4 linked regions of the Styela clava genome follow. The main gene of each other region encodes a partner of the protein of the gene in region 2 in a complex. Links are inferred from orthologs where the notes say so. Each region holds a gene or a part of one and is shown on either strand. Other genes may lie near its edges. The genes, in order: cysteine-rich PDZ-binding protein-like, uncharacterized protein LOC120339308, pre-mRNA-splicing factor CWC22 homolog and small nuclear ribonucleoprotein Sm D3-like.

What was found.
Region 1: uncharacterized protein LOC120339308 (region 2) and cysteine-rich PDZ-binding protein-like share a complex: the UniProt entries of both Homo sapiens proteins name them as parts of the minor spliceosome. The link is inferred for Styela clava from reciprocal best matches to the Homo sapiens genes SRRM1 and CRIPT.
Region 3: uncharacterized protein LOC120339308 (region 2) and pre-mRNA-splicing factor CWC22 homolog share a complex: the UniProt entries of both Homo sapiens proteins name them as parts of the minor spliceosome. The link is inferred for Styela clava from reciprocal best matches to the Homo sapiens genes SRRM1 and CWC22.
Region 4: uncharacterized protein LOC120339308 (region 2) and small nuclear ribonucleoprotein Sm D3-like share a complex: the UniProt entries of both Homo sapiens proteins name them as parts of the minor spliceosome. The link is inferred for Styela clava from reciprocal best matches to the Homo sapiens genes SRRM1 and SNRPD3.

Annotation. Positions count from the first base shown.
Region 1 is NC_135255.1:21,668,307-21,677,114, reverse strand, and holds the start of cysteine-rich PDZ-binding protein-like, read right to left. Parts: upstream 3,570-8,808; 5' UTR 3,448-3,569; coding exon 3,432-3,447; intron 2,975-3,431; coding exon 2,909-2,974; intron 1,606-2,908; coding exon 1,468-1,605; intron 1-1,467. Other genes in the region: general transcription factor 3C polypeptide 6-like, read right to left, coding at 4,285-4,845; serine/threonine-protein phosphatase 2A activator-like, read right to left, coding at 6,199-7,296. UniProt on the Homo sapiens protein: As a component of the minor spliceosome, involved in the splicing of U12-type introns in pre-mRNAs. Involved in the cytoskeletal anchoring of DLG4 in excitatory synapses.
Region 2 is NC_135250.1:14,829,452-14,837,575, forward strand, and holds the start of uncharacterized protein LOC120339308, read right to left. Parts: upstream 3,545-8,124; 5' UTR 3,502-3,544; coding exon 3,481-3,501; intron 3,090-3,480; coding exon 3,000-3,089; intron 2,725-2,999; coding exon 2,602-2,724; intron 669-2,601; coding exon 498-668; intron 125-497; coding exon 48-124; intron 1-47. UniProt on the Homo sapiens protein: Part of pre- and post-splicing multiprotein mRNP complexes. As a component of the minor spliceosome, involved in the splicing of U12-type introns in pre-mRNAs. Involved in numerous pre-mRNA processing events.
Region 3 is NC_135257.1:819,522-828,063, forward strand, and holds the start of pre-mRNA-splicing factor CWC22 homolog, read right to left. Parts: upstream 3,496-8,542; 5' UTR 3,435-3,495; coding exon 3,247-3,434; intron 2,389-3,246; coding exon 2,260-2,388; intron 2,028-2,259; coding exon 1,859-2,027; intron 1,439-1,858; coding exon 1,316-1,438; intron 1,193-1,315; coding exon 1,055-1,192; intron 544-1,054; coding exon 336-543; intron 143-335; coding exon 71-142; intron 1-70. UniProt on the Homo sapiens protein: Required for pre-mRNA splicing as component of the spliceosome. As a component of the minor spliceosome, involved in the splicing of U12-type introns in pre-mRNAs. Promotes exon-junction complex (EJC) assembly.
Region 4 is NC_135254.1:11,360,230-11,367,537, forward strand, and holds small nuclear ribonucleoprotein Sm D3-like, read right to left. Parts: upstream 2,644-7,308; 5' UTR 2,518-2,643; coding exon 2,116-2,517; 3' UTR 1,105-2,115; downstream 1-1,104. Other genes in the region: protein SCAI-like, read right to left, coding at 1-90, 177-263, 518-613, 941-1,104. UniProt on the Homo sapiens protein: Plays a role in pre-mRNA splicing as a core component of the spliceosomal U1, U2, U4 and U5 small nuclear ribonucleoproteins (snRNPs), the building blocks of the spliceosome.

The sequences.
Region 1 (8,808 bases), on a different chromosome or scaffold from region 2:
AAAACTGTTTTCATGCTGGGCATTTTTTTCTGTTTTCTTTAACCATCCCTGATTGATGATTTACAACAATTTCTTTCCTATATTTGTTTAGTAATTTAGTAGGTAATGGTTCTGAGAAGGTAAACAAATGCAGTAATCAGTAGCAACAGCAGTCTGATAAAAATTGGAGGCTAGATAACCATTGTCATCAAGATTCAGAAGCAGGAATATTTTTCATCGTAAAAATAAGCTCACAAAAAATGTCAAAAACGTTGTAAAAGGGAATTATTGACGTTCTTCAATGATAAGTTGCCTCTACAATAACATAATAAAGGGGCCCTAAGTCCAATAAAATTGTTTCTAGTCCAGAAAACTGAGAGCCAAAAAGGGTTAAGTCCAAAAAACTCCCAAAAAAAAAAATTTGGGGGGGAGCACAAATTTTTTTATACCATTAAAATATGGCCTTCATTGTAACTTTGGTGGACCATAAAAACTAGACATCCTTGATGTAAGGTATTAGAGAAATATAAAAAAGAAACAAAAAAAAAACGTTTTTTGCGTTTTTCTCAAAACTAGAAAAATGGACTTAGCCCAATTTGGATTTCATGCGTCGATATAGGGTGTCCATAAAACACTTTTATAATTCCAATTTTGTGATGAAGTCAGTTCTCAATATATCTTCACCAGGTTTGTTGTGTTTTAATCAGTAATTGTTCAAGTATTTTTACTTCATTTAATACAGCTGTGAGGAACAAAACAATATATGGTATATCCTAGAATCTACTATTAATAATAGGTGTTGGAGAAGAATGTTTGAAGTTTGACCTCCAAGAATATTATAAAAGACTCAAGTCAGGGATGTCCAAAGAAAATCGAATATTCGAATAAATTTAAGGTTTATAAATGAAGTTTCACAGCATAACCTAGAAGGCATCTATTTGAATGGAAATTGCAAAAATCAATCAAATCATTGTTTATATTTGCATTGGGTTGCGCGAGACTAACTTCCTATCTTTCTTCTATGCCTTTATGCTAGTGGATCCGTATGCGTATATTTCAAGGATGCTATAGCTGGAATAAACATGACTATTCTATCCAATTAATGCGTCTTGCTGCACACTTACACAAATGTATTTCTGTAACCTTCGTCCGACCAAACTCAGACATCCTCAGACAAGCAGTTTACAACAATTGATTGTTGTTACAGAAATACATTTGTGTTAGTGTGCAGCTGGACTCTTCAGTTAGATAAAATTGTTTATATGCCTGCATTTTCAAATTTCAATTCATTGAAAATATGTAGGCTACTATCGATTTTACCGGTTCTGCCAGACCGGCTACTTATCCTTCTTTTATGCTTTTGTGCTGGCGGATCCGTATGCATATAATGCAAATATGTTGTAGCAAGAGGGAAGATGACTATCCTAAGTGGTTCAAGAGGGTTGCCCCTTACCATAAGTTGGAAGAGGGGAATGGGAATTACCTTACCTTGACAAAAATTAGAGCCAACTTGATGAACTTGTAATTTGCATATCCGACATTTTTTAAACTTTCCGCTGCTGTACGGATTGTATCGATTCTTCGTCCCAGTCAAAGCTTTGTTTTCATTGATCTTACGTCCCCCCTCTGTGAAATAGGATAGGATTTACATATTTATCCCGGGGGAGAGGAAAGCCGATAAGACGGCTTATCCATATGGCAAACCACGGCCTCTCGTCCGGTTACCATTCCAAGTCAGGTATGTGATTAGTTATATTGTTTGTTTTCGGAGGCATGGACTTGGTGGTGGAGGAAGTCGTAACCGACCGACCAGCGGTTACGTGAACCACCCAACGACAGCGAGGAGTCCAGCAATCCGCTCGCACATAACCATCCCTGCATGAGATTCGAACCTGCGAACCCACGTAGAGTAATTAGAGGTGCAGTGGCGAGCGTATTCCTAACGCTTAGCCCGTTGAGCCACACCGTCGAGCCTGAAAATACTTTATTTGCCCATCTCTGTAGAAAAAACAACATCCTCCATAAACTGTACGTTGGGCGCTCTGGAAGTATGCAAACCAAGATGACGCACAACCTGAACCTTAACCTGGTACATATACTAATTTCAGGTTGTGCGCCATCTTGGTAGACATATGTCGAGTGCACCGTATATTCATACTATGTAGACCAGTGGTTCCCAAGGTTTCTTATTATATTTCTTCCATGGCCTATTTTGCATCTGTATTGCAATTCACAACAATACTAAATAAGTAAACAACACGAGAATATCGGTCAGAGACCGAAGACTCATCGATCGAAAGTTAGAGGATCCCCCAAAACAGCGCTCTTACTCCACAGTGACACCTTGTGTCTCATCACTAATTAATTAATAACTCGCTAAATATACGACATAATTCATCCAAAATCAATAGGCTTTGATCCGAGATATGAATGCATATGCAAAATTTGGAGCGGATTCATCCTTGCTTTCGTGAGATATCGCGTGTATCTAACAGACAAACAAAACAAACAGACAAATACCTATCAACATACTTACCGATCTTAAGATCGATAAGTAATAAGTTAAGCTACACCAAATACAAAGTATTTATGTACCCCCTAAACAACAAAATTTTTTACCGGTTAGCAAAGGTTGCCACTTGTCATCTAAATTCCTATGCTAAACCCCTAAAATTTGCTACGCTATAGCAATCCTGGGTGATGCGATGGTTTAACGAACAAAACGACAGATTAACTGCATCGACACTGCAGGTCGAACATCTCTGGTTCCCTCGCCCACGCCCCACACCCAGTGTCTGATAAATTGGGTAGGTAATGACAAAGCGGAAATATCCTGGTCCTTCCAAATAAATAGTAGCCTTTACACAGTAATGGCTGCTTGTATTAGACCATGTTCAGGTCAAAAGACGTCTTATAAAAACATTCCTACCGTTTGTATTCTTGGCTCCAGTTTTCCATGGATCAGGTGTCGCCACTGTTCCCAGTTTTTTCTGACCTGTGAATAGAATATACCAAGTTTAACCACGACGGTTAATTTCAAAGGAATCTGAGAAGAATGGTAATCCTTTCTCAAGATTGTTTCAGATTAGTTGCAAGAAGAAGAAGCTATTTATGTTGACGTTCCCTGTTCGATAAGAAATTTTTCTCTAAGAAAAAATTTTGCAGTTCTTGGAGAGGAATTTTGTTCTCCATGTAGTGTCACTTATTTTTTTAGCATAGGATAGGATTTAGATATTCATATCAGCAGAGAGAAAAGCTGATAAGACGACTTGATCATATGGCGAACCCCGACCTCTCGTTCGTTTACCAGTCTGTGTCGGGTATGGTATCTGTTTTCAGAAGCACGGGCTTGATGTGCAATTTGCTATACCAACACTGCGTTGGCAAAACAGTCTTATTACTTTCACCAGATGAGACAATCTCGCCATTGAAAACAATAATAAAATACTTACATTTATCGCAAACCATTGCTGTCCAGTCGTTCAATCTATTCTGTCCAGGAAAATTGTCCCCTAAGTAAGACAGCAGATAATATTGAAGAATTCAAAAGTATTAACTAGAGTAGTTAAGATTAAAATCTAAAAAAAAGAAACAAGAAATAATTTAAAAAACGAAATCCAAAGATCATGAGTCTATAACAATGTGACCAAAATATTCTAAAACCCTTGCTGGACTGGTAACCAGTGCTATGGACTGAAGAGTCAAGACAATATTTATCAGAGATTACAAGTAACCCAACTCATCTAAAAGAAATCAGTGATTGATTCGACTTGGATGACTCAACCTGACGCACATGTTTAGGCATATGTATATTCATAATAATTCAACTATACGGCTTCGGCCGCATTCGTGCGCTCCCCTCTCCCAGCCCGCGAATATCCTTCCGCTTCGTTCAATCAACTTTGGAGCGCTTGGGAGACTTCTACCTAACTATTAGTCAGACCCCTATATCAACACTTTGCACGTTTCATATGTCATTTCACACATTGCACTTTGAACAATACTCAATAACAATATAAAGGGGTCACTGATTCGTAAAATAACTAAAATTTTTAGAAAGACCAGAATAAGTGAATTTGGCATCCAATGAAAAATAAATGGCTGAGTTATTTAAAAATAGGGCAATTTCATTGGAAGTTAATCATCGGACGAATTTGAGTACAATTTTAAAAAATGTGATGCAATAATACCATGAATGCCATAATACAAAACCATGACAACATAATACAAATCAAAGGATGAAAAAGAGTCCATATCTCCCCCCAGGAAAAAATTGAAAATAGCAAATATGGGGGAAAACCCTAATCATTGAGATTCACTTTTTTCATCTACCGTCTTGTCTACTAACAAGGCCCTATACATTGAAATCTTTTTTTCTGTGTGCGTTAAATAACGTAATTTAACTTTCTGTTTTCCTGGAGTCGGTGTCACGGTACGGAATGTGTCCTCATCCTCACTAGACTCCCCGTCGGAATAATATTCCTCAAAAAGTGCGTTGGTGCCAAACGTTTCTGTCGGTTCACCCATAAAAATAAGTTCATCCAATTGTAGAAACATTTTTCCATTTTCATCAAATAATCCGATAAGTTTCACTCGATCTTTATCACATTTTTTGAGATAATTTTTACGCGCGACTCCATGCAATTCGATTAAACAATTGTCTTCTTCGACTAATTCCCATTCATCAGGGTTGAAGTCTTCTCTGGGAAATGGTTTCTTCTTCCTGTGACCTTTCACCTCAGAGTCAGAGGTCAAGTCCATCTCATCTGTTCCTTCTGCCGTATTATCACCTTTCACATCAGGGTCAGAGGTCGTGCCATTTCCATCTGACCCTTCTGCCATTGAAGAGTCTGTTATTTGGTCCATATTTCAAGATTTATGTTAAATTATAAATCTGAAATAATAAAACAATTAAAAACATTTATTCATTAATTAAAAGAAAGTAACCATAATATATAAATTAATAGGCCACAAGAACGATATTTAGACTTGATAGATAAAGGTACAAACAAACTGTTCGTACCGCTGATTTATGCTCGGGAGGATCGCTGGGCTCCACACTGCTAACTAGCATGTTTGAAAAGGAACGCTGTGTGCTGCCTAAGTGTTTGTATTTGGTGGTAACTGACTTAGATGATCGCGAATGGTCTTTTCGTTACCTACCAGTCATCAACCGAAAACTTTCGATTCTCTTATTTTATTATTATTTATATTTCTGTTCTCTAGTTTGATAAAAAATATGACTTCGCTCTCTCTCTCTTTCCACATTTAGTTGAAGGCCCAAAACTCTGTTTCGAGCAAACGTGCATACTAAGGACAAACAGTTGATGGCAAAAACATACAAAAGATTTCAAACGTCAAGAAGAGTTCAAAAAAATATGAAACATTCAAAATGACTCAACAGATCTGGAATAAAGAATAAATTACAGAAAAATATTAATCTAAAAAACTAATCCAAAAAGATGGAACCATAATTTTCCAATCACGATGAATACCCAAATCATTTTGTATTAAGTAAAAGTCAAAGTGAGAAAAGAATATTGCTTACATATATGGACATAGAAATTCTATACTCAAACTGCATAATCTCAATTGTTTGAACAAGGATGGATATATACCGTCCCAATCGACGTTTGAATTGCCTCCGTCACAGAGAGCCATTGATTGCTATATATTATATAGACAGCAGGTTAGGAATAGGGATAGATATATTGTCCCAACGACCATAGAGGGCTATTGGGCTGCCATAGAGACAGCAAGTTATGAACAGGGAAGGATACCAGTATGTGGTCCAAATTACCATTTAAATGGTTCTCCTTAGAGGGCTGTTGATTTACCATAGAGACAGCAGGGTAGAAATAAGGACGGATATAAGGTTCCACACAAGCTAATCAAGTGCAATGTTTTAAAAAATCCACTTCATTGCTCAAGTTCAACTTAATACAACGCTGTGGTTAACTTTGCCTGAATTCCCTGCCCTAGTAGTTTTTGTCTACGATTAGGTGAGCAAAAATATACGACATGCTATGTCCCAAACAGAAATAACTGATTAATAAGAAACAAATGACTCATTTCTTCAACGGGAAATGCTGTTCACAAAGCGTCTCAAATTTCCACTGTAATTTTTTAAAAACTGATTCGTTGTTCTATAACAGAGGTAGTTTTTAAGCTTTAATGTAAAGACTTGTCTTTTAAAAAGGTTTATTCCTTATTATTTCTTCAATTCAACTTTATACCAGGTTGTCTAGGACTCGGATCTAAAGTGAGTATGGATCCGAATTTGAAATGCTGAATAATCGGAAATTTCTGAAGTATTTCCGCCTTGTACATCTTCAATAGGCCGGAGTTGACTTTCCCCCAATGCGGGACGCCACTAATCCCCCAGAGAGTGTTTGAATGCTCAGCGAAAGGTCCCGTTTTTACGGACATGATATAATCAATGCATTCCATGAACATGTATTCTGATCGGTTTTCAGCGACAATTTTCGATTCTACAAAATGAACAGGTAGAATCGTGGGGTGACTGAAAAACTGCGACGACCCCCATATAAAGGGTAAAAATTGGAAATCATCTAACCCCCATACCCCTTGACTCCCTGCTGGCTCCATTCTGTAAGTCTTTTGCAACTTCCGAGCGACGTGTAAGTAACGATTAAAGACGTGAAAAACGGCCGCAAGTTTATCTTTTTCCCCCAGGATTTGGAGCTTAAAAAAACAACAAAGAAAACAAGCAAATGACATTTCGTGACCAGTTCCGTAATCAATTCTTGTGGAATTTCCGAAACCCCCGTGTAAATACTCCACAATTTCAGAAGCAGCTCTTTTTAAATTATCAGGCAAAAGGTCAGAGGTCAATTTTTCACCTTCTTCTTTTAACTTTTCATACCAAGTACGAAAAGCCTTGTTCCCGAATCTTTGCGGCTGGTCTATCGACGGCGTTTCATCAATCCATTTATCCAATAAATCCAAAAGTGCGACAATTTTTTTCGTCGTTTCAGACACTTCGCATGGAGCACTAAGCTTTTTACCTTTTATAGCTGCATTTAGCATCATTATAAATCCTAAATAGTCTTCATACCCGCTTGATTTTGTCCAAATTGCCATGTCCAAAACAGTTTTGATTTGCGTAAATGGAACTACAAATTTATGATCTTTAAATGGGTCATTTTCATCTGCTGTATCTTGATTTGCACCCCCACTTTCGCTTGTAGAGACTTCAACTTTTTCCTCTGCAACCTCTGGTTTAGTTTCTTCACAAATTTTCGGACTCTTGGATCCCTCTGCTGGCTCAGAATTTGCTTTATTATCGTCAGACATTATATCAGTTATTTTTAGATATTTGTTCTAATTAAGAATAAAAATTCTGGAAAAATAATTAAAATTCAATTGATTGATTGCATAATCAAAAATCAATTCATCAAAAATGAAGAAATAATTATCTTAAATCTACAACAAATTTTTTACGAGTTTGGCTCGACCTTTAGTAATGAAGATCATCTTTTTGGCTATTTGCAGGTTCTAATCAAGATTTAAAAGATAGGGCAAATGAAGAAATGTTTAGACCAGGGGTCGGGAACCTTTTTGGTCAAGAGAGCCATAAAATATACATATTTTCAATTGCATTTCCGTGCGAGCCATATAACATTTCTTCACTTGATCAGGCCTAAAATGTTTACTCAAAAGTCAACACATACAATGTCAATATACATTTAATGTGATTTCTGATGCTGCATGTAGTCGCTGCGGGCCTTGAACGGTTGCTCACATGCAGCCCAAGTTGAAATCTACGATTCTCATCACCCTTTTTCGTTTAGGCATCTCCGTAGTGTTTTTAAAACTCTATCGCTTTGTGATGTCACAATATATGTTCCAGAATCCCCTTGTTTGTCACAATGCCTGTCTGGCGATTATCTCACATAACATAGACATGTGCTGGGCGCGCGTTCTCAAACGTTTTGGGAATTTCCTGCCAAAATTGGCTATAAAAGAGTTTGAAATCTTGTAACAATAGTAAGCTTAGTCTTAGAATATTAGATTTTTCTGGGAGCCATATGCCGTCACCAAAAGAGCCATATATGGCTCGCGAGCCATGGGTTCCCGACCCCTGGTTTAGACCAATCAATCGGTACCCCCCGTAGTGTATGTGCCAGGTTAGGATTAGGCCTTAATTTTATTCCGATTTCCTTATTTTAGTTCTATTACAAGTTCAGCGACTGTCTGTGTTAGCCGAGTGCATAGGTTTCAGTCCTTTTACACAACTTGATGTGAAATAGGCGAACAATCTTAGTTACCTTCATATTGGTACACACACTTCTGGAGCGCCAATCAATCATCATAAACTTGTCAACAAAACGCACACTAATCATAAAAAAGGCAAATACCAAAAACCGATAATTACGCACACACAATTTTTTCTTACCAAAATTGGATTTTCTCATCTGTTAGGAGTCAAAATATTTACAGCCCGGAGTAAGGGGTCGCTCAGTACCCGACATGGAACTGGTAACTGGACGGAGGCCGTGATTCGCCATAGGATTAAGTCGTTTAATAGGCTTTTCTCAGTGCCCAGGATAAATATGAACTCCTATCCTATTCAAATTGACCAAAATCAGTCAAGTTAGTATTGTTATAGATTCAAATAGATGATCACTGAAGACATTGAAAAGAAAAAATAAAGCATTATTCATGGAAACTTGCTCAAGCAAAAAAAACGGATACTCACTCAGAAGTAAAGAAAACTCATCGCTGAGCAAAGTTATATATCAGTTAGTAAATATTGTTGATGTCACAAAATTCAAACAAAAACGAATAAACACCTTGGATTAGTGG
Region 2 (8,124 bases):
CCACAAGATATCATACTGTGAGATGTTTAATTCAACTCTGTACTTACCTCTTAGTTTTTCTTTTTTTCTCTTTATCCTTTTTCTCCGAAGCCTTTATTAAGGCAGCTATCTTTTCCGCTTCAGCCTGTTGAATGATGAAGCCAAAATATTAGTTAGCCAAAGCATCAGAAGTTATGCATATAGTGCACACAGCATTTAAACTAATTGCCCTTTTCAGGACTAAGGCACACAATATTTGAGAAGTATTAGATAAAAACCACCCCTTAATTTTACAAGAACATAACATGGTTTTTGCCGGGATTAGCCTCGCATAATCATATCTATAATATATTGTTCAGGAAAACAATTATGTTTTAAGCCAGCCTTCTTGATGCCTGATCCAATCCAAGATTAGCACCTCGATCTTATTACACATCAAATTAATTAGGAGTAAATTAGTTGTTTTAATAGTCGTATACGAGAGGTTCGAGATATTGTCCTATTTAATATTCACATACCTGGCGAAGTTTTATCTCTTCTTTCTTTTGTTCCATAAAAGACAAAGGGATACCAGTAGCACTTTCTTGTGCTGATGTAAGAAGCGGCCACAATTGTCCAAGGAAAAGTCTAGAATTCTTGGCGTTCAAAAATCCAGTGAGATTTATTTGAAGATTCTTTGGGTCAGGATACTAATACAAACAAAAAATAAACATGAACTATATAGATAACCATTCTAATAAAAAATCAGCATGTGTAGAACTGTACATATGGCATACTTTGTAACTAATAAGACAATGTTCAGACCCAATTTTCTAACCATTTTAATAAAAAATCAGCATGTGCAGAAATGTACATATGGCATACTTTGTAACTAATAAGACAATGTTCAGACCCAATTTTCTGGGGTCGGTGCATTAATACTTTCCGATCAGAAAATATTGTGAAAGAACAATAGCACGCCTTCCCATCAGTTTTCGTTAATCGCCGTTCATACAGTGAATCTGTAATATCTCTGCAGTGAATATTTGCATTTGTGTGTGCATCACTAGCAAAAGCCTTTACCGATACTGTCCTCATAAAAATAATGTTATTAAAATTTGAAAACAAAGAGATATTCCTAATCTTTCATTTGATTAGGTTCTTGACAAACATACCGCCAATATAATCATCCTTTATGAGGCGATTAGGATATGTATCTCATGACTATCATGCAAAACTTGATTTTGTTTCGGCTCAATCTGGACGTGTCACAATTAGGGATGGGCAATATAGAATACCGAATCCGGAGGATTCAAAGCCCAAAGTATTCAAATCCAGCAGGATCCGATAACAAAATTCGGTTTCCGCCTCTCCAGCGTCTGCTCGCAATAAACCCGTGAAATCGGTAAACATCAGACACTGTAATCTCAATCGGCATATTCAAGACACGAAGTCGGCGAAGTACACCTCACGGCAAAGACTCGTTATTGCACCATTTTTGCGTTTTTCTGCTTTGCTATCTAGCTAGCGTATACTATTATTAATTATTTGTGCCGACTTACTGGCGATATTCCGATAATCTGATTGCAACAATCTTTATTTGGATACAGACGTGCCTTGCTTCATTTTATATTAAATGATTTTTTGCGACCTGCGAGTTTTCTCAAAAAATAATGCATGTGAACCAGAACCAAAAGCGTTGAATGTTATAACATTACTTGCGATTAATTTACATCAAATATCATTTACGAATAATTTTATTACATCCTTTTTTCAAAATACAAAGTTATATCGCAAAACGAGAAAATCTGTCACATTTGAATTTCACTCTCAAAAGATTACATATTTTTCGGTCAGTTTCTATCGTTCAAGATAGACGCACATTTGATCGGGTGTTTGTAGTATTTTAGTCGCCAATAAATTTAAAAAAAGTTGTCGCATCTGGCAGAGATAGTGACGTATTGAGTCTTTGGATGTTATTACCTAATAACTAAGTACGAAATCGTGTTTACAAAAACTTGGTTCCACGAGTCTTGCTCGCACAGAATTAAAAGTTGATTTTAATTGATAGCGCTTCAATTTAATATTTTACAATGGGTGCATAGGTTGCAGTGGCAACAAGCTGGTCCTGCTTATATGTAATTCTCAGTGGGTATGTTGTAGTACACTCGGCAGACCTAACATTAATAATGATTTAACGATGTTTCATATCTATTTTTGTATTTAACTGCTTACTATTAAAGTGTTCAAAGCGTGCCTTGATTTAGAATATCAGTATTTAGGGATAACATACATTTGGAACAATTGGAAGGCAAAATATATTGTAATATTCATAAAATTTATTGTCCTGGGAAATGCCTGTTTAATATCAAATGAAATCAAATGTCCAAATGAATAATACATTTATAGTAATACATTTAAAATTTTTTAACATCAAAATCTAGCAATGTGGAAATTCCCACTCTTTGAATAAGTATGAAAATAGATTAGGATTCGGTATTCTAGATTCGATTTAACTATTCTATAATAGTAAATTATCCTACATTGCCCATCTCTAGTCACAATGCTGAAAAATATATGTAAGGAAAGAGAATTTCAAAAAAATGAAATGAATTTTACTCAAATAAATAAAAACTTTCATACTCTTTCCTCCAGGTGATTAAAAACATATTCAATGACGACATCATCTTCAAAGCCAAGCATTTCAGTAATTGTCTTCGTAATCCAAGGTTTAATTGTTTCCACATTGATCTTGTTCATATCAATCTGAATGAAACATGGCTGATCTCAACTTTAAAAACAAAAACGCTAGAAACACGGTGAACTACAATAAATTTACATTTGATGAAAATATATAAATACATCCTGATACAATACTGCAATAGTTAAGTATTTTAACCATGTAATACTTATAAAAAATGAATGAAATATTATCCTACAGAAATAATAACAGCAAATATGCCTCAATATTTAAGAATTCGATTCGAAGGTTATTGAAAGTGCCAATCCAGCAATCCCTATAAAAAAAAATGAAATGTTACCTTGCTCTCCAAACCGTCTGCAAATTTCATCGATTTCAACAATTTTTTTTGCTTGTTGGCAAAACGATTATCTTGCTCGGCACTGGTGCCCTAAAGAAATGAAATGTGAAAGCTAAAATATCCAATCTATAATTTGACTAATTTAATCCTATTTATAATTTGTGCAAGCTTATAATACGAATACCAATTATAACAAAGTAGGAAACAGATGCTTTGAATTTTGCGGATTCAATATTCTAAATTGACCATCCCCAATTATGTTAATAATCTTATGTAATAACTTAACCTATAAGTTAAAACATATCTAAGAAAGTAGATCCGATCTTATAAATCAAAAAATAGAGAACCAACTAACGTAAATGTGAAAAACAGTGAAATGAGTGAGAATGACCAAATGCAGAAAGCTGAGGTTGAAAATGAGATAGTTCAATTGAAACTCAACATTTTAGATTTATTTAACGATGAAATGATTGAGGCTTACCCTGAAAAATCCTGCATCCATTTTTTTCACTTTACGCCTATTGCTAGTGACCAAAATGTATTACCTTGAGGATCAAATTTTAGAATTAGATTTTGGTCAATTCATCAGTCAAATCAAAATTTTAAAATTATTAATCGCAAATATGTCAAAAATAATTTAGTTTGATTAAATTGAGCATTGAAAATTTGTTGTTTTTGGATTGAATATTACAGTAACCTACGGCGCAGCCGTCACATTAAGAGATATCAATGATAAGACCAAAATTACTCCAGCCCACATTCAGCCTGACGTCAAGGGGTTAACCAACTATTTTACTGACTTTATAACTGTTATTACATAAAAACTTGGTGACTCTGACAACATAGAGACCATATCTGATATACACAACGCAAATACAATACCAAGCACGGCCCAGTTACCCCTAGTATGGCCTGACAAAAACGAGTGTGGGCTAGCTTCACACGAGTGTCAGAGTGTAGGCTAGCGTCACACGAGTGTGTGCTGGCATCCCGCGAGTTTGGGCTAGCGTCAAACGACAGAACGAGAGTGGGCTGACCTGACGTTCTGACAATGTTTCACCGTAAGTCAAGGCATCCTAAACGTTCACAGATTACTAAATTACATATATCCATGTTTAACTCAGCGCCAGAACCTCTCAAAGTCCGGCAATTGATGGCACAGCCACAATTTGGGTGAGCGAACACGTACTAGATCTACTTCTTTTATCAATACCTTTCCATCTAAAATCTGTACGTTTCAAACCTTACTCGAGGTTTTGTTCGCTCTCCCGATTCTATAATCAGTTACTTTTATTTTTATCTATTATTATCGTCTATTGCTGATTATGGAGTCGAAATAAACTTATACTTATATAATTGCCGGGAAAATGAATCAAAATCAGCTGAACAATAATATCTCTTATCCCTTATGCCAGGTATGTAGGTAAACAAGCATGAATTCACAGGACTGCAGGAGGGTTTCACAACATGAAAATTTAAATCTAAGCGAATATCAAACCTATTCATTTCCATCAATAAAATTGAGGTATGAACAAATCGAATCTGATTTGCACAAATACATCTTTTAAAATAAAGATTGAACAAGCAAATTGAGTAACATTTATCCAAAGAGATACATTGTCTTGATGGCTTTGAAGTCTGATTTCGGCACTTCTAATACTCTGTACACCATGAAATTGACTTATTACATTATATATCTAATTATCCAACAAATAACGAAAAGTTCTACCAGGGAAAAAAACGGAATCTACCTATGTCTAACGATAATCCTATTTCACGATAATAGCAGAGCCATTATATAATGACTCTGATAATAGTATTTTATGTCAAAATGCGGCAGGGAATTGAAACTTTTATATTATTTTGTACATCACGCAATTTGCCTTTTATATTATATAGTGAATTATCTTACAAATTCTGAAAAATTCTACCGGGGGGGGGGGGGAGACTTTAAAATAAAACCGGAATCTACCTATGTCTAACGATGATCCTAATTCCCGATAATGGTATTTTATGACAAAATGCAACAGGGAATTGAAACTTTTCTATTAATTTGTACATCACGAAATTTGCCTATTATATTATATAGTGAATTATCTTACAAATACTGAAACATAAAAAATTTTACCGAGGGGGAAGACTTTAAAATAAAACCGGAATCTACCTATGTCTAACGATAATCATATTTCCCGATAATAGTATTTTATGACAAAACGCAACAAGAAATTGAAACTTTTCTATTAATTTGTCTGTTGGTGTCACGTACGTAGACCAAATTCCTGTCTCGCCTTCTCCGGCAGCCATTTCCAGCCAGTAGGCACGTGATAAACCATCCGAGGTAAATACTTCATTAGTTGACTGATGGGTGTATTACTTAACTATTTGGAATCCTGACAAATGAGTTGGCCATCGTTGTATTAACATCTTAGGGCTCGGATTTTTCTGTTATTCCTTCATTTTTTTAAGCCAAATACTCCCGTATTATCTGCTAGGATTGTGAAAGGAATCGCGTATGGAATAGATTGCCACTTGTCCACCGACTCCTTTGTGCGTTAATCCCCTTCGTGCAGGGGTCATATGCTCTGGCTGCTGGGGTGATTATAGTGCGCTATAGGATAAACGTTTTCGAATGGTGATTCCTTCCCCTCTTTTGTTTGAAATATGACAGCACCAAACCCGTTCTCTAAAGCATCCGTTACGACATACAATAGAAGCTTTTGGTCTACATCATGTAATATTTTCGTGTTATTTAGTTGGCGTCGTGCGATTTTGTAGTCTTCAAGTAATTCTTTAGTCCATACTACTGGCGTGCCTCTGCTTCTTGTGGTAGGTACGTTTCCTGTTAGGGCGTCAAACTTCGCTAGTTTCCGATTGAGTTCCGGAATATGATCTGCTATATACCTCAAAGCACCGATCCATCCTCTGAGTTTGTATATATTTCGCGCCGGTGGTAGTTCTTTCATCATCTTCAGTCTTTCCGGTTGAACCTCTATTTCTTCCCCACTCAAGGTGGCGCCTAGCAGGTTGATCTTGATCTAGCAGGTTCTTTTCCAATAAAACACTTATTGATGCTTAAAGATCGATTTCATTTTGTTAATTGTTCGAAGGTCATTTAGAGTAACGTTAGGTGGTCCTCGACTGTTTTAGTGCTCAGGAAGATGTCGTCTATGTATGCTTCTATCAGCGACGCTTTTTGCTCCTCCAATCACTTTTTGTTAGTCACGTGTTCCCGATACGTCGCTGTTATGGGTTTCACCACACACTCTTGCATGTTAGCCGACCATAACGCAACGGCAGTTTTGAGTCCCATTGGAATATTGCACCAACGTATGTGTACCCCTTTCACTGTTATTCCAAGAAAGGTTCTAAATGCTTCGGTCATATCACAATGAAAATAGGCTTTCTTGAGGTCGAGTAGCGTGAGTACTTCTCCTCCTTGTGTCATTTGCTTTATATCGGGTATTAAGGAAGGCGGTAAATCGATTGGCTCTATCGTCGCATTTTATTTTTGACGGACCTCCATCCTATGCCGTATCAATTTCTGTGCCTAACCAACGAGGAAGGATCATGTTTCCTTTGACGGAATAAAACTCATAAAAGTCTGATTCAATACATATTGAAGTTATAATACTGGTAGACCAATGGCAATTTGATGAGATTATAATCTATTTGCTACCTTATATCCGGACTGCCGGTACTAATTGAACACATGGACCTAATTTAATTTGTGTACATAACTACACTGTCACACAATTAGGTAAATTTTATTTCATGCCTCTTCCTTGCTGCAACGATAACACCCTCAAATGACCTGAGGAATTTTGTGACGCGTTCCACGACCACAGCAACACGATCGAACCAAGCATAAAATTTACCATAGAAAAAGAAGTCAATGGGACAATAGCCTTCTTAGATGTCCAGATACAGAGTGAAGGAAATGGAGAATTGACGACTGATATATTTAGGAAAAAGACCCATACTAATCGCTACCTCAATTTTAACTCTAGCCACCCGCTTAACCATAACGTTCAGTGGTTAGTAGTCTTATGAATCGTGCCAAAACTCTTATATCGGATGAAACAAAGCAGAAACAAGAAATAAATTTCATTAAGAAGACTTTACGACAAAATGGATATCCAACGAAAATGTTCAGAAATCATGTAAATCTCCAAAAACCGCCTGATAAACCCATACCAATCGCATCTACCACCATTCCGTATGTCCAAGGACTAAGTGAAAAAATTCGAAGAATTTTGGAAGACGTTAAAATCAGAGTAAGTTTTAAACCCCAACACACTATCGGCCAATTGCTCTCCAACGTCAAAGACCGCCCATGCCCTAAACAAAAAAAACGGAGTTGTATATACAATCCCATGCAGCGATTGTTCTTCAGTCTACATTGGAGAAACCAAAAAGAAGCCTGGAAACTCGCAGCAAGGAACATCTACGAGATATTAAACAAAAGAAAATTGACAAGTGGGCCCTTTCGAAACACGCCCTTTCTAATAACCATAGCATCGACTGGGAAAACAGCAGGATACTAGAAAAAGAAACTCAATACAGGAGAAGACTATTTCTCGAATCTTATCACATAAATAAAGAGAAGAATTCGATGAATGACAAAGAAACCACACTTTTCCCGCCTGTGTATAAATCATTGTTTAAATAGTCCCCTTTTTGTTTGAACTTGCGCTAGTTTGTTTATTGGACACGTAGTGGACATAACGATCGTTTCAATATTATGTTGTTGTTGTTGTTCTTGTTCTTTGACACGTTTTTAAAAAGACGCTTTTCTTTTCGAATACTGGACCAATTGCTTTGAAATTTTCAGTGGTTAAAGATTAATTTTTTCGCTAGAAGGCTATTACTTTTATTTATTTCAAAATTTTGCGTGAATTCTATGAAATTTGATATTTCGTCTAAAATTTTGCTGTATTATTTTTTATCCATGGGAACACGGATTTTAGTCAGTGTCATGACTGGCTGTACGTTTTGATTCTGCAAAATTCTTGCTACTGGAATTTCAGAACTTTTTTGAGGGTACCGGTAGCGTCAAAGGTACCGGTAAGGACTGATTCGCTCTGGTCTGACGTGTCCATATATTTGTGCGTAGCTCTCTTGTTTA
Region 3 (8,542 bases), on a different chromosome or scaffold from region 2:
TTGAATAGATTTGTGTATACAAAACGTCTGAACTGGAATGTTACCATTTTTAAAATAAATTTGTACTAACCTTCGTCAGATGATTCATCAGAAGAAGATCCAGAACCACTTGAACTTCCTTCACTGCTTTCGTCAAGAATATCTAAAAATCGGCCTTTTTTATCAAACAAAGCAATAATAATGAAATTTGAAATAGGGGTACTGAATAAAAAAGAGGGATATTATCATACATGCTCAATTATAAATTCTTATAAAAACCCTTTCCCAAATATTGACGACTTCAAAAATCTTGGAACAGAAGTGCCTGTGCATTCCTAGTAGATAAAAACAACAACCTTTTTTAATCTGCTTATAATTTTCTTCATTTTGTATAAAATCAGGATCCATATGAAACACATTCAGTTCATTTTCCGTTCCTTTCCCTCCACCATCATCATCGAGTTGTAACATGTGTGTGAATTGATCAGTTTCTTCTACTAGATCAAGATCTTCTTCAACAGAAATATGTTCCTTGAATCCATCTTTTCGAATAGCAAACATCACCTGATTAAAAAGAAAAGGTAATATCAATTTAAAATTCAGTGCCCTGGATTTTTCAATTCATTTTGAATTTGAATTCTCTACATTGATACTCATATCAGTTATGACCGAGAACTCGTGATATATTGGCTGTCACTGGCTTGAACAAATTTATTCTTGACTCAAGATCTCCGAAACAAATGTGAAAATTAAATTAGATGACATAAAATGATTGACAAATAAGAGTAGCAGAGTGGAAGTAGAAAATTGAAATGTAAGAATTTTTTGCACCGTAAATTTTAGCATGGATTAGCATGATTTAGGATTGAATTTGAAAACATATAATGTTGCTTTGACAATATCTTTTGATTTCTATCCTATATCAGATCAAAACGTATAAGTCTGTTTGATGCGATTTGCTACTTCATAATATAGTCTTCAATATTAGAAAAATAAATAAATGTATCAGATGTAAATGAGATTTGAGAAATATCTGCAATCAATGAACTTATGACAGTAAATTATAATTAGTTACTTCAATCATGTATTGCACTCTCTTGTCAAGCTCTTGTTCATGTAATATTGTACGTAAACGTTCCATGACTGCTGCAAGACCACGGGGTGATACCTCTAATAATTTTTGGCCACACTCTTTTAAGAATCCAATTGCAACCTGAGAAAATTCAAGAGAAAGATTTTCACTAAAAATACTTTAGTTTGAGATAAACGAGTTTAAAACATGCCATTTTATTTATTTATCATACATTCACGAATTAACCAAACCACAATCACATACCTCCACAGAATCATCTGTCGGGTTTTCAAGCAATAGAGTTAAAATTTGAAGTCCAATAATCTCATGTGCAACTTGCTGGTTCATCAAATGGGCAATGAATTGTGCAGAGTGGAGGCATACTTCCTAAAAAATAATGACATGAAGTCAGGTAAGAAAAAATATCAATCTCTTCAATTTAGAATCTCAGTTGGTAAAGTAATAAAATGATCTGATCAGCCACTCACAGTAAAATAAATTTGATTCAAAACTAATCATGACCTTTCATGGCATTCACAAACCCCGACATTTACATTAAGCATTGATTTAAAATGATGGCAATTTTTCAAAATATTATTATTGTCCCTTTTTGCTTTATAAAAACCTCACTATAGTGTCTCTCACTATAGTAATTTATTAGGAAGACTCGAATATTACGAGTCAGCTGTGACAACTTGACTAACACAAAATTAATATTATTTAGGCCTATTGTAAATTAATTGTAAAAAAAAAGTTTATTCAACACTATCTTCACAGGAGATAAATTTACGGACTTCGGCTAGCTACCTTTCTATTTCTTTTATAAGACCGACGGAATTGCAAGGCAAGTCTTCTTAATATTAACTCTCCATTTTGTGGAAAACGAGTGTTGATGATTGCAACGAGAGCAGCATATACTTTTGTAAAGGTTGGAGAAGCATTTTGAGCTTGCAATATAGATTGGGCCAACACTCCCCTGAAAAACATGTTAAAAGTTTTTAATTCGACAACAATCTTGACCACATTATTTGGAAATGCTTTTAAAAATTTGCAATTGTGATCAAAAAGACATAATGAGCAATATCATAACATGACGAATATATTGACAATAATATAGATGCATCTAAAATTTCATAGTATTGGACTATTGGCATTAGATATAACAGTTTATCTAAATAAAGAACCCGACACACAGTGGCACATTTTACCTTCCACGAACTATATTTTCTTGAAATAACTCTCTGACAATGCTTGATATATTTGACGTGTTCACTTTATTGATCAAACCGTTGATACTCTTCTTCAGAGCTTCCCAACTTATTCTCTGATATTGCTCGCTACAAAATATTGAAAAATTCAGTATTATTATTAAGTCATCATTTTGCTGTCAACAGAGAAATTCCATTAATTTAATAATAAATGCTTCAAAGCGCATATAGCAGGGTGGTCCAAGGTTGGTGGCCTCGCAGGGCACACTATTATATTTGATGTGTTCGCGGGCCAAAAGAGTTCAACTTATAAATAACTGCAGATTGATTGAATACCGAATTTTACCAAATTTGAGATACAGGAGGGTAATTACTAAATTTTCTGACATATAGGCAGCATTTTTTGTAATACTAATTAGGCTGATTGCGGAAAACCACCCAACAGGAATTATTTTATGGTTATTTTTATGACGAAACAACACCAAATTTTGTTTTGTTAGATTTTTTGTTTACCCTCCCGCAATGGCAGCGCGGGCCATAGATAACGAAGCCTGGGTTTGGATCACCCTGGCATATTGGAACGCTGTGTAACACTTTCAGCATTGTGTAAGAGAAAATAACAAAATTTTGAAAATATTTGAACTTCCACTCAGCACGCCAAAAATGAAGATAAGGTGCTCTCAACATGGTGTGGGAGTGGGCATGGGTATATAAGATATATTTCACCGTTAGTACATCACACAGGTATATCAAAAACAAAAATTTTATAGGCAGAAGAGCATACCAATAGAATATAAATAGTTGGGAATTGGGATAGAAGTGCCTGTTTGAAGTCCGAAGCTTACATAAATGTTAAAGTACTCATACCAATTAATCACCATATATTTCTGGGCAATTCAGTGGCTGGAATTCGAACTTGAAATGCCACAAGTGCTAACCATAGCATCAATTCGAATAATATGGTCATAATATTTTACTGTTTCAAACCTGCTCTTATCAGTAATCTGCTGTTGCATCATTCGTAAACGAGCCGGAGGAATATATGCTCCTCCAGTTTTTGTAGAAATCATGGATTCTTTGTCAATTTTGCTCTTCTTCTCTGGAGGTTCTCCTTTATTCTTTTCATTTTTCTCCTCTATTATTTCACCTTCTTCCAGATGTCTAGCTTTACTCATGTTTTGAACTGAAAATTTATACACTACTGAGCTCTGAAGCTAGTCTATGTGCAAATAAAGATATAGATACATTTGCAGATTTGATAGACTAGATATGTACATTATGCGTAAATTTTATATTAAATTCCCACCCCAGACACCACCAAATATGACAACACTCAAATCAAACAAACAGACATTGAGGGACATTAATCTGGTAGATTTGCGCGTATTCTGATATTACTGTATGAATTTATGCTAGACTCTAGTCCAGGGAGGTCCAAACCCTGGCCCGCCGCTTCACTATCTGTGGCCCGCATCGCATTTGCGCAAGAGTGAACAAAAATCGCATTTGGCATTGTTTCTTCATAAAAATAACTAGAAAAATCTTTTGACATATTGTTACATCACTAATGTCAATGAATTGACTAGTGTCATGGTTAGCTGAGGCAACTAGCGAAGGAATAATGTGCTTTGCTAGTCTAAATTGTTAGCTGGCTTTCTATCTTTTTGGTCGGGAATATTATGCTAACAGAATATTCTTCATAGTAAACTAAAAATCCAATGGAAATCTATCAGCCTATAGGTTGGGTATGCCTGATAACTAAATATTAATGTAATGGCCGAACAATATAATTCCCGCCGGGTGTTTCTTTTTGCAACCAGCCTAAACAGTGTTACAAAAAATGCTGCCAATATGTCAGAAAATATAGTAATTATCCTCCTGTATCTCAAATTTGGTGAAATTCGGTAATCAATTAATCTCAGTCATTTATAAGGTAATTTTTAAACATGAGTTTGAAAAGAAAGTTGACTAACAGATTTTTGACTGGATATGGCAGATAAAATATCACAATGCTTGCCTAATAATATGTCTGCAAGTTGTATCAGTGACAATCTAAAACAGTATTTTTTCCTTATGGCACTTTTTCCAAGATGAGGAATTTGAAATCTTACACTACTGCACTAAATGTATTTACAGTAAGATTTTTGCAAGTTATATTTAGCTTTATTTGGTAGTTTTAGCATATGTTAGCTTGATAAATGACAAATAATGATCAATGTGTTTGGACAATAAAGTGTTTGTTTAGTATTGCACTAATTACCTATTCTTGGCACTATTGTGGCCCGCGAACGATACAAAAATGATAATGTCATTACCACTGTCCCCCCCAAGGTTGCCGATTTAATATAAAAATTGCAAGGAAGTATATGAAATGACATTTGCAAGACCTCTAAAGGTCCGTTCCGGTAGGTTTTCCACTCCGTTCCGGTAATTACAGAAAATTATTTTTACCACTGCCCCCCCCCCCAAGTTTGCCGATTCATTATAAAAATTGCATGGAAGTATATGAAATGGCATTTGCAAAGCATCTAAAGGTCCGTTCCAGTAGGTTTATGTGGGTTTTCCACTCCGTTCCTGCAATTTAGAGTACCGGTACGTTCCGGTAATTGGGGAAAATTATTTTTACCACTGCCCCCCCCCCCAAGTTTGCCGATTGAATACAAAAATTACATGGAGGTATATGAAATGGCATTTGCAAGACATCTAAAGGTCCATGTAGATTTTCCACCCCGTTCCGGTAATTCTGTAATAAAAGGAACCGTCTTATTGTTATTTCCAGTACCGGTATTTCTGTCCAAGATTTAGTCACATTTAGGAAATAGAGTCCGCAGCCAGACAGCTCAGGTGGATGAGTTAAGCCATATCTGAATTTGCTAATGTTTCAGTAATTCCGATAACAGGATAATAAGATTTCAGCAGTTACCGTACCGGTATTCTACTCTGCGTGGGTTCGCAGGTTCGAATCCCATGCAGGGATGGTTATGTGCGAGAGGATTGCTGGACTCCTCGCCGTCATTGGGTGGTTCACGTAACCGCTGGTCGGTTACGTCTTCCTCCACCACCAAGTCCATGCCTCCGAAAACAAACAATATAACTAATCCCATACGGTACCGGTACCAGACTTGAAATGGTAACCTGACCAACCTGACGAGAGGCCATATGCTGATATGGGTGGTTCGCCATATGGATAAGCTGCTTATCGGCTTTCCTCTCGCCCGGGATAAATATGTAAATCCTATCCTATTCTACAGTACCGGTAACTGGTTTAATAATTAGGACGGTAGGATCAAAGTGACTATCTTAGTCGATTTGGGTAGGATAGCCCGACGTTTAAGAATAGACGAACCTGACCAAAATGTTCCCACTGCTCCAATTACTGATTTACAATACTAGCCTATAATTCCATAGGACTATTCCATAAATATAAAGTAAAAGTTACACCAATTTTCAATCAAAATGTGATATAACCATTTACTGCATTTCAGCATTTAAGTGTGCAGCGCGTTATACACAGTGCACGTTACACTTAAATAATTTCGGCAATAACTTCGGAAAAGCTAATGAATTAGTTAATTAATCAAATTAATTGAAGTAGTCGCACGTGCTTAATTGAAAAAAAAGTCAATATATAAGTGCAAACGATATTGAAGAGATTCGCCCAAGCTCAAAGCGAAATGTGCGCAAGTACGTATGCGTTCGCTCACTAACCCAAAAAATTTTGCTAAACTGGAAGTTTTGTTAGATTCAATCACAAGTCGACCCGATATAATTTCGGTTAATGAAACTTGGCCTAAACCTGACCAAGTTGGCGCTCATATAAATTTACGAGATTACAGATTCGTTTCAAATGCAAGAAGCAACCGGGTGGTGGTGTGGGCTTGTATATTAGAGATGGTATTACCTTTAAAACCAGACCGGAATTGTCCATGATGGAGGAGAAAACGTTTGAATCGTTATTCATTGACATTAATCTTAAAGACCGAATTGTAACTTGCGGTACTATTTACCAATCGCCGCTGTCCGATAACTCCAGAAATAAGAAATTTTTTAGCCACCTCAACATTGTTTCGCCCTCACTTTCAAGACAAAGTATACTAATGAGTGATCTTAATTATGATCTGATGGACACATCGCACCATTTTGTCAACGAACTGACTGAGCTAATGAACCAATATTCCTTTTATCCCACTGTTGCCAAACCGACCAGAATAACTGAAAATAGCGCAACAATTCTTGATCGTATATGGACAAACATATACGATCGAAAACCTGTCAGCGGTATTCTAACCGATGCCATCTCTGATCATTCACCTGTAATGCAGTGTATGCCGATAGAGCAAAAAACATTTAAACACGAGGAAAACAGTTTTTCTCGATCATTTAGTCCGAACAATATGGCCAATTTTAAAACGGCGTTAGAATGTATCGATCTCTCTGGGGTGTATGAAGAATCGGACCCGAGCAATGCCTTCAAAAACTTCTCTTGTCATGTTATGCCAGTTTTTGATCGCTGTTTTCCTCCGATTTCGACTAAAAAAACTAACAAGAAGTGGTTTGATAAAGAATTAACAAACTTCATAAGAACAAACAGAAACGTTACAAATTATCTCTTATCGAGAAATCGCAATGTTCCAGGATTAAGTACTTGGAAATTAAGAAAACCTATTAAAAAATGATACTGTCCCAGAAGAATTTTACTACAGATCGGTTCTGAATAAAACTAAAAGCGATCTGAAAAAGTCGTGGCAAACGATGAATACCCTGCTAGGTCAATGCAAATTTAAACTGTCAAAAGTATTTGTTGTAGGAAATATTGAAACGTGTGATCCCGTGTCTATAGCTGATCATTTTAATAAACATTTTTCTACGATAGGAAAGCGAATGGCTGAGAAATTCTGTAATGATACTGACGGTAACTTCATGAGTTACATGAGTAAATCGAGCACCTCAAGTATTAATGTTTTTATCACCCGTAACAGCCATTGAAATACAAGCTATCGTTCGAGCTTTTAGACCTAACACCAGATGTGAGCTTGATGGAATCCCAATTAAAGTTATCAGAGCAATGCCATGGATTTGCATGTTATCTCCGGCTCATATTTTTAATCTTTCTTTGCAATCGGGACAATGTTTTGATGAATTTAAAATCGCTAAAGTAGTACCACTTCATAAAGGCGGAGACATGAAAAATGTCAAAAACTATAGACCGATCAGCCTACTGCCATCTTTTTCAAAGATTTTGGTACAATAGACTAGTTAACTTTTTAGAGCAAAAGAGTTTTTTCTATCATCAACAATTTGGTTTTCGCAAGGGACATCCCACCTCTCAGGCTACGTCTCCGCTTACAAGTAAAATACTGGGCGATTTGAGAACGGTAACTATACCAGTTCTCGACCTTTCTATCCTGGCGGACCGATAAAATTAAATTAAATGTACTCGCGGACCGGCAAAAAATTGTAATGACCGGAACAGACAATATAATGCAATGTCGGGCATTCAATATGCTTCTAGACAAAAAAAGAACACTTAAAAACATTTCACACCACGAAAAACTATCAAACAATGTGCCGGCTAAAAATTGAAATGGGTGAAACATAATGTAATACCATCTATTTTCGTAATAAAATGCAGTACTGGGCACCCATTATGCGTAAGAAAGGCACGCATAAAACATCTCACATAAAAAACATGTACATGCCAAATAATGTATAAACACAATTAACTCTAGTGAGAATTTTGCTGCTGTTTCGTTTCCAATATTAGATTGCAAACGAGGCCTCAAAGAAGTTTCTGCAACACGTAGCTCTGCAGAGGCGAGTAGCCGATTTCGTTGCTTCGTTTTAATTGAAGCTAGTGATGAAAATGTTTATCCAAAATTGTGACAGTGATTCTTTCTTAAATCTGGACTGTAAAGTAGAATCACAATTTTAATCAAGATTTTTCTTTTTGACTGGCAAGTTGGTACCAGGATCAAAATCCTACTATGTCTGCTCAAAATATTGGAAAAGATCTCTGCCGCCCATGTTTTTTTTGCGCGTCTCGTGACCACCTGCAGGGTCGCAACAAGTTCATATCTTACTCTTACTGGAATATTATACTGCTCTTGACTGTTTTCTGGTTTAAACAAAGGAAATATGCATAACGTTTTATATAAATGGTCATAATAATCAGGAATATGACCCAGAACAGAAAAAGCACGTGTGCCAATTTTTGATTTTGCCAGATTTGATGGAGTGCATTCGCGATGAATCGGAGCCGAAAAAGCAAAAAGTGTGAATACTC
Region 4 (7,308 bases), on a different chromosome or scaffold from region 2:
TTGTGTGCATTTTTGTAATAATTCCTTGTTCTTATTGCAGAGTAAAAATGGTAGGCTTCATTTAGATAATTCGCTTCACTCGTTCGTAGGCTGAAATACCACTTCAATAAGTTTTTTGTAAAACTATGATTTTTTGGCGACTACATTAAAGGAAATTATTTTTAAATAGCACTTACTAGTAATGATAATATAATTGCCCAATCTTTGATGCAATTTCACCTATTTGCCATCGTTTCAATCCATATACACTGTCTAAAACCAGTCTGAAAATAAGTAAAAAACATTATGTAATGTTGCACATATCATCTTATAAAAAGTGTGTAACTGAACAGTCTGTAATATTATAACGATTTTTCACACGTTTGGTCTGGAAAGACACTAATACAAAAAGAGCTACGGAGTTTTCAGAACACCCCCCGCCCAGAAATCTTCTGCATAGTCTATGTAGTTTAGGTCACCCTGGTTGAGACAGCAAGAATAAGGATTCAAAATTAGCATAGAATGAATTAATATAAACCTGTTTTCTTGTTGAAATTTCCACAACTTTGTATATGTCTCAAAAGTTCTGGCAAAATATGGTTGCCATTGTCTTTGCCCATATTGAGGTAGATCTCTGAAATGCAAGAACAAAATATTACCAACAAATACATACCATATCCTTTAATTATCTGGTCAAGTGTGACAAGATCAATCAATCAGGATATTGGGGTTATGGATTCTAAATGTGTACGATTCTACCCTTACGTTTCAACTGCAGTTTCGGAAAGACGAATTGTCAAGTAGTATTCTAAATAATCGTTCATATATATTATCCTTACAAGTGTTCAAACCACAAAATTTTCAATCTGGAAAAACTGTCACAAAGGATTTTGCAGAAAATCCTGATTTTTGTATTTGATATGCTTGAAAATGTTTATTGAAAATGTTGAATTTCAATTACCGGAGTCCATTGAAAAGATTTTTAGAAGCTTCCAATAAATCACCAAATTCCTGAACTACTTTTCGTTCCTCAGCTGTGGGAGTCGGAGGCACAGTTTCCATCATTATGTCAAGACCACAATACCAAAAGAACTCAAATCTGTTATAAAAAGAAATTGGACCCATTTAAATCTTGAACCAAAATCTGACAAAGTTATATTCCCAGATCCACACTAAACAAAATCAACGTATCGTTAGCCTATCATGATTGAAAAAAGGATGCCACTTTGGTATGCGATTTCGAATCATAAAACTACTTAATCTCATAAAGAAATTCGCATAGAATTCAGTTTCTAATCCCAAGTCTGTCATCACTGGGTTAGGGTTAGGATAATTCAAAAATCTCTAAGATCAGACATTGGGATTACATACCAAAGTGGCATCAAAAAAAGGTACCAACAACATACAGACATAATGCCGACTTTAGCAGACTGAAATAATGAAGCTAATAGCAGCAAATTAACATCACAAGAAATATAATGCACAGATCAAGAATAATATTATTCAAATTCAACTTGTGTTAAAATTCGCTCTGGTTCGTAGACATTGATATAACAGTAATCACATTCGAGCAATGCTAAAAGAAATTGTCCCAGGTTGAATAAAACTTGGAGACCAAAAATTGCAACACCTGTCTGCCTTTACATACAGGCAGGCAGATGTTGTAAAAGAAACCAAAACGAATGAAAAATAATTCAAATATTATGCAAGACAAACATGTAAAATCATATGCATCACTCCCAATATTGGGATCTCAAGATGATGTACATAATAACAGAAATATAATCGAAATTGAGTATTACCTAATATTTTAAGATTTGGTAGACTATCATTCCAAACTTCAAAAATTGAAATTTACACATTTTCTGGATCATTATAAAATAATCATGCCAAAATGGACATAAGTATAGATATTAATATCATCCAGTCACACTAAAAACAATCAATAATTTACCACAAGCCAGAACTACATAATGGAATGATATAATACATCAGCTGCCTACCAGAAATGAATAAATCACAGACAGTAAGCATGGATCTGTGGATAGCAGAAGCTTAGATTGAAAGGCGGTGGGAGCAGCTCCAACAAAATCTAAAAGACTTGGGCCAATAACTTTTTTCAACTCTATCCAAGGATTAGTGACGTCCACGGAAGCTGGCAGAATCAAATCCACCACGGCCCCTGAAACCACCGCCTCCTCTGCTGAATCCGCCTCTTCCGCGGCCGCGAACTTGAGCTTTCAAAATAGCCGCTTTTCCTCTTCCGGCAGAACCACCGCGTTGTTGCTTCAGCATCGGAGCATTTTTAAGCATATCAGGCAAAATCATAAACCTAACTTGACTTCCGCGGATGTAAATATTCTGCAACTGTGCTGTTCTACCGTCTCTATAAGTAACAGTTACATCTGTCATTTGACTATTCATGTTATCCTCAGCTTCTATGAGTTTTCCACGATAAACTTCTCCATTCGCGGTTTCACATGTGATAATATGGCCCTCCGCCTCATGAAGTACTTTGATTGGAACTCCAATAGACATTTTTAATGAAATTATGTGCCAAACAATTGTATTCAGCGAGATAAAAATTGAAACTAACACGGCGAGGTCACAACTAGACAATGCGCAAAAGCAACACCGAAGGAAAGCCTTTTTCCCGCGTCCGCGTCTCGTTGCCTCATCGGAACTGTGAAAAATATTCGAACGAATGACCTAAATGACGATATTATTAGGTCATTGCCGGTCATTGCTTAAACAGCCTTATTAGACAAAAAGGAAAAATGGATCGTTTTGAAATTTTAATTTAAATTAGAAACTAAATTTCGACAACCACTTTGTTTATTTCATTCCGTGTTCATTGACATGTCGTTTACATTTTATTTTAGTTACGTTAACCATACGTTATTATTACTTATCGATCTTAAGATCGGTAAGTATGTTGATAGGTATTTTGTCTGTTTGTTTGTTTGTTTGTTTGTTTGTCTGTTAGATACACGCGATATCTCACGAAAGCGAGGATGAATCCGCTCCAAATTTTGCATATGCATTCATCATATCTCGGATCAGAAGCCTATTGATTTTGGAAGAATTAGGTCGTATAATTAGCGAGTTATTAATTAATTAGTGATGGGACACAAGGTGTCAGTGTGGAATAGGAGCGCTGTTTTGGGGGATCCCCTAACTTTCGATCGATAAGTCTTCGGTCTCTGACCGATATTCTCGTTAAATATTGTTACATTTTTGTTCTGAGTTTCCTTATCGCATGTAGTCAATTGAAACAATTTCGAGCACAGTAATAGGTATAGGATGCTATTCGATTGCAACGGGTCATAAAAAGGGGGTTGATAAACATCATTATGCGGAAAAACTTCTTCTCGAAAATCGCTATGTCCTGCAGTCTGAGAAAAAAAGTGTCTGCTGATATTTCAATGCCGGCACTGTTTATAACCCGATAACGTAGTCCATAACGTATTGAAATTAAAACTATCATTTAATAACAGCAGGTTTACTTAAGAAACTTCCATATCAAGCACATATTTTTAAAAATAAACTATAAGAGAATTCAGATTCAAATACAGATGGTCTCACTCAACACGAACACTAAAAGTAACTATAGATACACAATCAACATGATCTATAACGCTGTCTTGAAATTCAAACGTCATATTACTTTCTACCGTCGATAGAGATTTTGAATTCAACAAGTGAGCAATTGCGTGAGTACAAAATTGTACGAAAGAAAAGTGCCTCAAAGAGATGGTAGCCTGCTTGAGCATTTCCAACGCACTATCGTAGAGTTTATGATTCTCAATAACAATGGAAATATATATATAACGTAAAATGGTCACATAATCTTAAACTTGTGGACATTCCCAAAAAGTACAAGCGATTAATCTGGATAAAATTTGTTTTTTTTTATTGTTTTGAATTAAATCTAAAAAATAATTGATCCAATAGCCTACATTTTATTTGTTATCGTCTGGAAAAAGTGTGCAAGTTTATTTTTTGAAACTGACGTTTTACCGTTCAGCTTCTCATGTGGAGAAATTTTCCTATAGTTCTTCAACAGTCTTCAATTCTAATTTACTCATTATTGTCGTGATTCCGATTTATCGACGGAAAAATAGCAATTATATATCAAACTCTTTTTTTTTTTTTGGTAGGAATAAAAGCCAGATCAGATGGAAGGCGTTTGATCACAAACCATTGTGAAGTTATGATTCCAAAAATCTCAATGAAAGATTATTTGGATGTGTTGCTGGCCTCTTGTTTTACATGCGATCTTTGATAATTTGAGCACAAAAAATATATAAATATGAAACCTTCATAGAAAGATATCTTGAATTGGCAAAATTTGATCAAAATTGTAAACTTGGCCCAAGTCAATAACAATTTTTTTATAATTTCGAAACAATTTTAATGATATCAAGTTGTGGGATTCAGGGGGTTCAAGCGACGCATTCTTAGAATGTCGTGATAGTAAGCGAACCCATTCTTAAACCTTGAGATACATTCACTATCCGAAATGAGCGAAGCTGTTGTTAGTGAGTTTGGTACAAAATAGAATCGGAATTTTTTCTAAATTTTAAATTGCGTCACTGTTTGGCTCCCATCCATATACAATCCACAGAATGTGAAAGGCAAAAAGAATTTAATTTGCAAAACTTTCTTGAAAATAAAGAAAAATCGGGCTGGCCAGCCGCTCATCGACTTTATTATCTGTGGGTGATAAAATAATGAATCCTTTTCATTGGCTAATGATCACGTTTTGAAGCGTCTTCATTATTGGACACGTTTAGTGGACATTCGTTTAACTGTGAATCTTAATAGTGAACTTGGGGGGTAGCTGACTCCGATGACCTTATGGTCGTATCGCTCTCCCAGTCTATACCAAATTAACTTTGTGTATATTGTATATATTAATTTGTATACCATTGTTTGTTTTCCGGTTGACAAATCAATAAATCTCTCTCTCTCTCTCTCTCTCTTTCTCATAACGATCGTTTTGTTGTTGTTGTTCTTGTTCATCGACACGTTTTGAAGAAACCGCTTTTCTCTTCGATTACTGGACCAATTGCTTTGAAATTTTCAGTGGTGAAAGATGGAATTTTTCTCCAGAAGTCTATAACTTTTATTTTTTGCTATGATGTCATCAAAATTATGTGGCGCTACGTGTCCATATATTTGAGCATAGCTCTCTTGTTTGCATGATGACGCTGTTGATGCAGGGCCGGATAACCCATTAAGCAAAATGAGCACGTGCTTAGGGCAGCAAGGGAAAGGGAGCACCACACAAATTTCAATTTCCATGGTCGAATTTTTATGACTCCGCAGTATCATGAAATAACTCGAATCGGTCTGACGACCCAACAGTTAATATTGGTCCGGTATCGAGCCCACATAGGCTAGCTAGAAACTTTTTTTTTTGAATACTTTTGCAATAAAAAGAATTGAACAAAGTTACTTCTGTCAGATAATTCAATGTGGTGGTCCACGCACGACAATTGGGAATTAATTCCCATTGCGCCCCCTTGTTATTTTATATAAATAGTTTTCATTGTAACTTCAATACTGTTAAAAAGCGTCAGTCGTAAAACGTTTAAATAGCATTTCACCATAACTCAATACTGTTACAAAGCGTCAGTTGTTAAACGTATAAATAGCATTTCACAGAAACTTCAATACTGTTAAAAAGCGTCAGTCGCTAAACGTGTAAATTGCATTTAACTGTAACTCTAATACTGTCAATATTCGATTTTACTGAAAGTATTAGTTTCACAACGCGAGACTAACTCTATATAGTGACATAGTCCTGCTCTATTAGGTGATCCCGGAGTATTCGTACCAAGATGGCGCACAACCTGGACATAGTATGGGTACCAGGTTAGGGTTGTTAAGGTTGTGCGTCATCTTGGCACGAATACCTCCGGAGCGCCCTCTATTATGCTGACAGATTTGTGAGTGTATAATAATGCAGCGATGTTGTAGCCAAGGCTGAATAAACCATTGAGCAAAATAAACACGTGCTTAAGGCACCAATGTTACCACCACCACCACTAGTTACATACCTATTATTATCATTTACATATAAGGCAACAAATTTTTAAGTGCTTATGGCTTCCAAAAGGCCATATGATTCGGCCCTGCCTGTATGGATGAAAATCAATTTCTTTTTTTTATTTGCGTGAAAGTGACCAATCGAAAATAAATTAACAGTGACGTACAATTGCAATTTGCAGCCACTGAGACACTTCTTTCGCTTAGAATTGTTCAAGCATGGTTGTAAACATTACCTCGTTTTCGTGTAAGTTTTCAGTTGTGTTTCCAAATAATAGCTGTACATCAGATACCTTAATTGCCATGATATACTCCGAGGACCTTTAGTTTAGTTGCAATAATCAAAAATTGATACCGTAAACGCTAAGATAGGCAAGCCTAAAATTAGCTATCAGTGCCTGTAAGTGGCACGTGGTTCAAGATTTTGAATAGAAATAGTTTGCAAACATGTGAGCCAGTTTGTAAGCGCCAACTCTCCAAAACACTTCCAAAATACAGGGAGAATTTTTGAGGGGTCAAGGTTCGGGCACACGTCCATTGAAAACACAGAGCTATATAGAGGACTTGCACGGGTCACGTGACTTTGTTTACTGGACGGCAGAAAAACAAAAACGTCCAGTTGGCTCCTGTCAGTTGCAGGTCGGATTATACGTTTCCGTTTTGTTTGGGTGTGGAAAATGGTTATTTCGTATTGTACCGTTGGCTGTATGTATAGTATAGACAACGAAATGGATCTTCAGTTATATTCCACTTTTTCAAAAGATACCATCTATTGGCAGGACTGCTTGGTGTCAAGTTCAGAAGTCATCTCGCTTGTGTTTCACTGTTTGCGGACAGCACTTCGTTGGTGGTGAGTGATAATGTGCCGTTATCAATTTCTTTAAATATTCATAAGCTTCCCCATTTCAAAGGGAAGAAGATGACAAACTACTGTTATTGGTAGGCCTACTTGCAGACTTGACTTGTGTAAGGAATAAATCATCAATTGCCATAAGGTATTGTTTCCCTGGTTAGCAGGTAATCTATTAGTAAGTGTGAAAAGTTGAATAGATAACTAAAGTTCAACACCAGTCAGTGCTCATGCAAAAAATAACCAGAATTCAATTGAATTCGCTATCTAGAAATACGCTCGCCACCGCATCTCTGACCACCCTGGTAGTTTCACAGGTTTCAATCCCATGCGGGGATAGTTTTGTGCGAGAGGATTTCAGCTCTCCTCCCACTGAAGGTGGTTCACACGTCCGCTGGTCAATTACGACATCCCCCACCATCAAG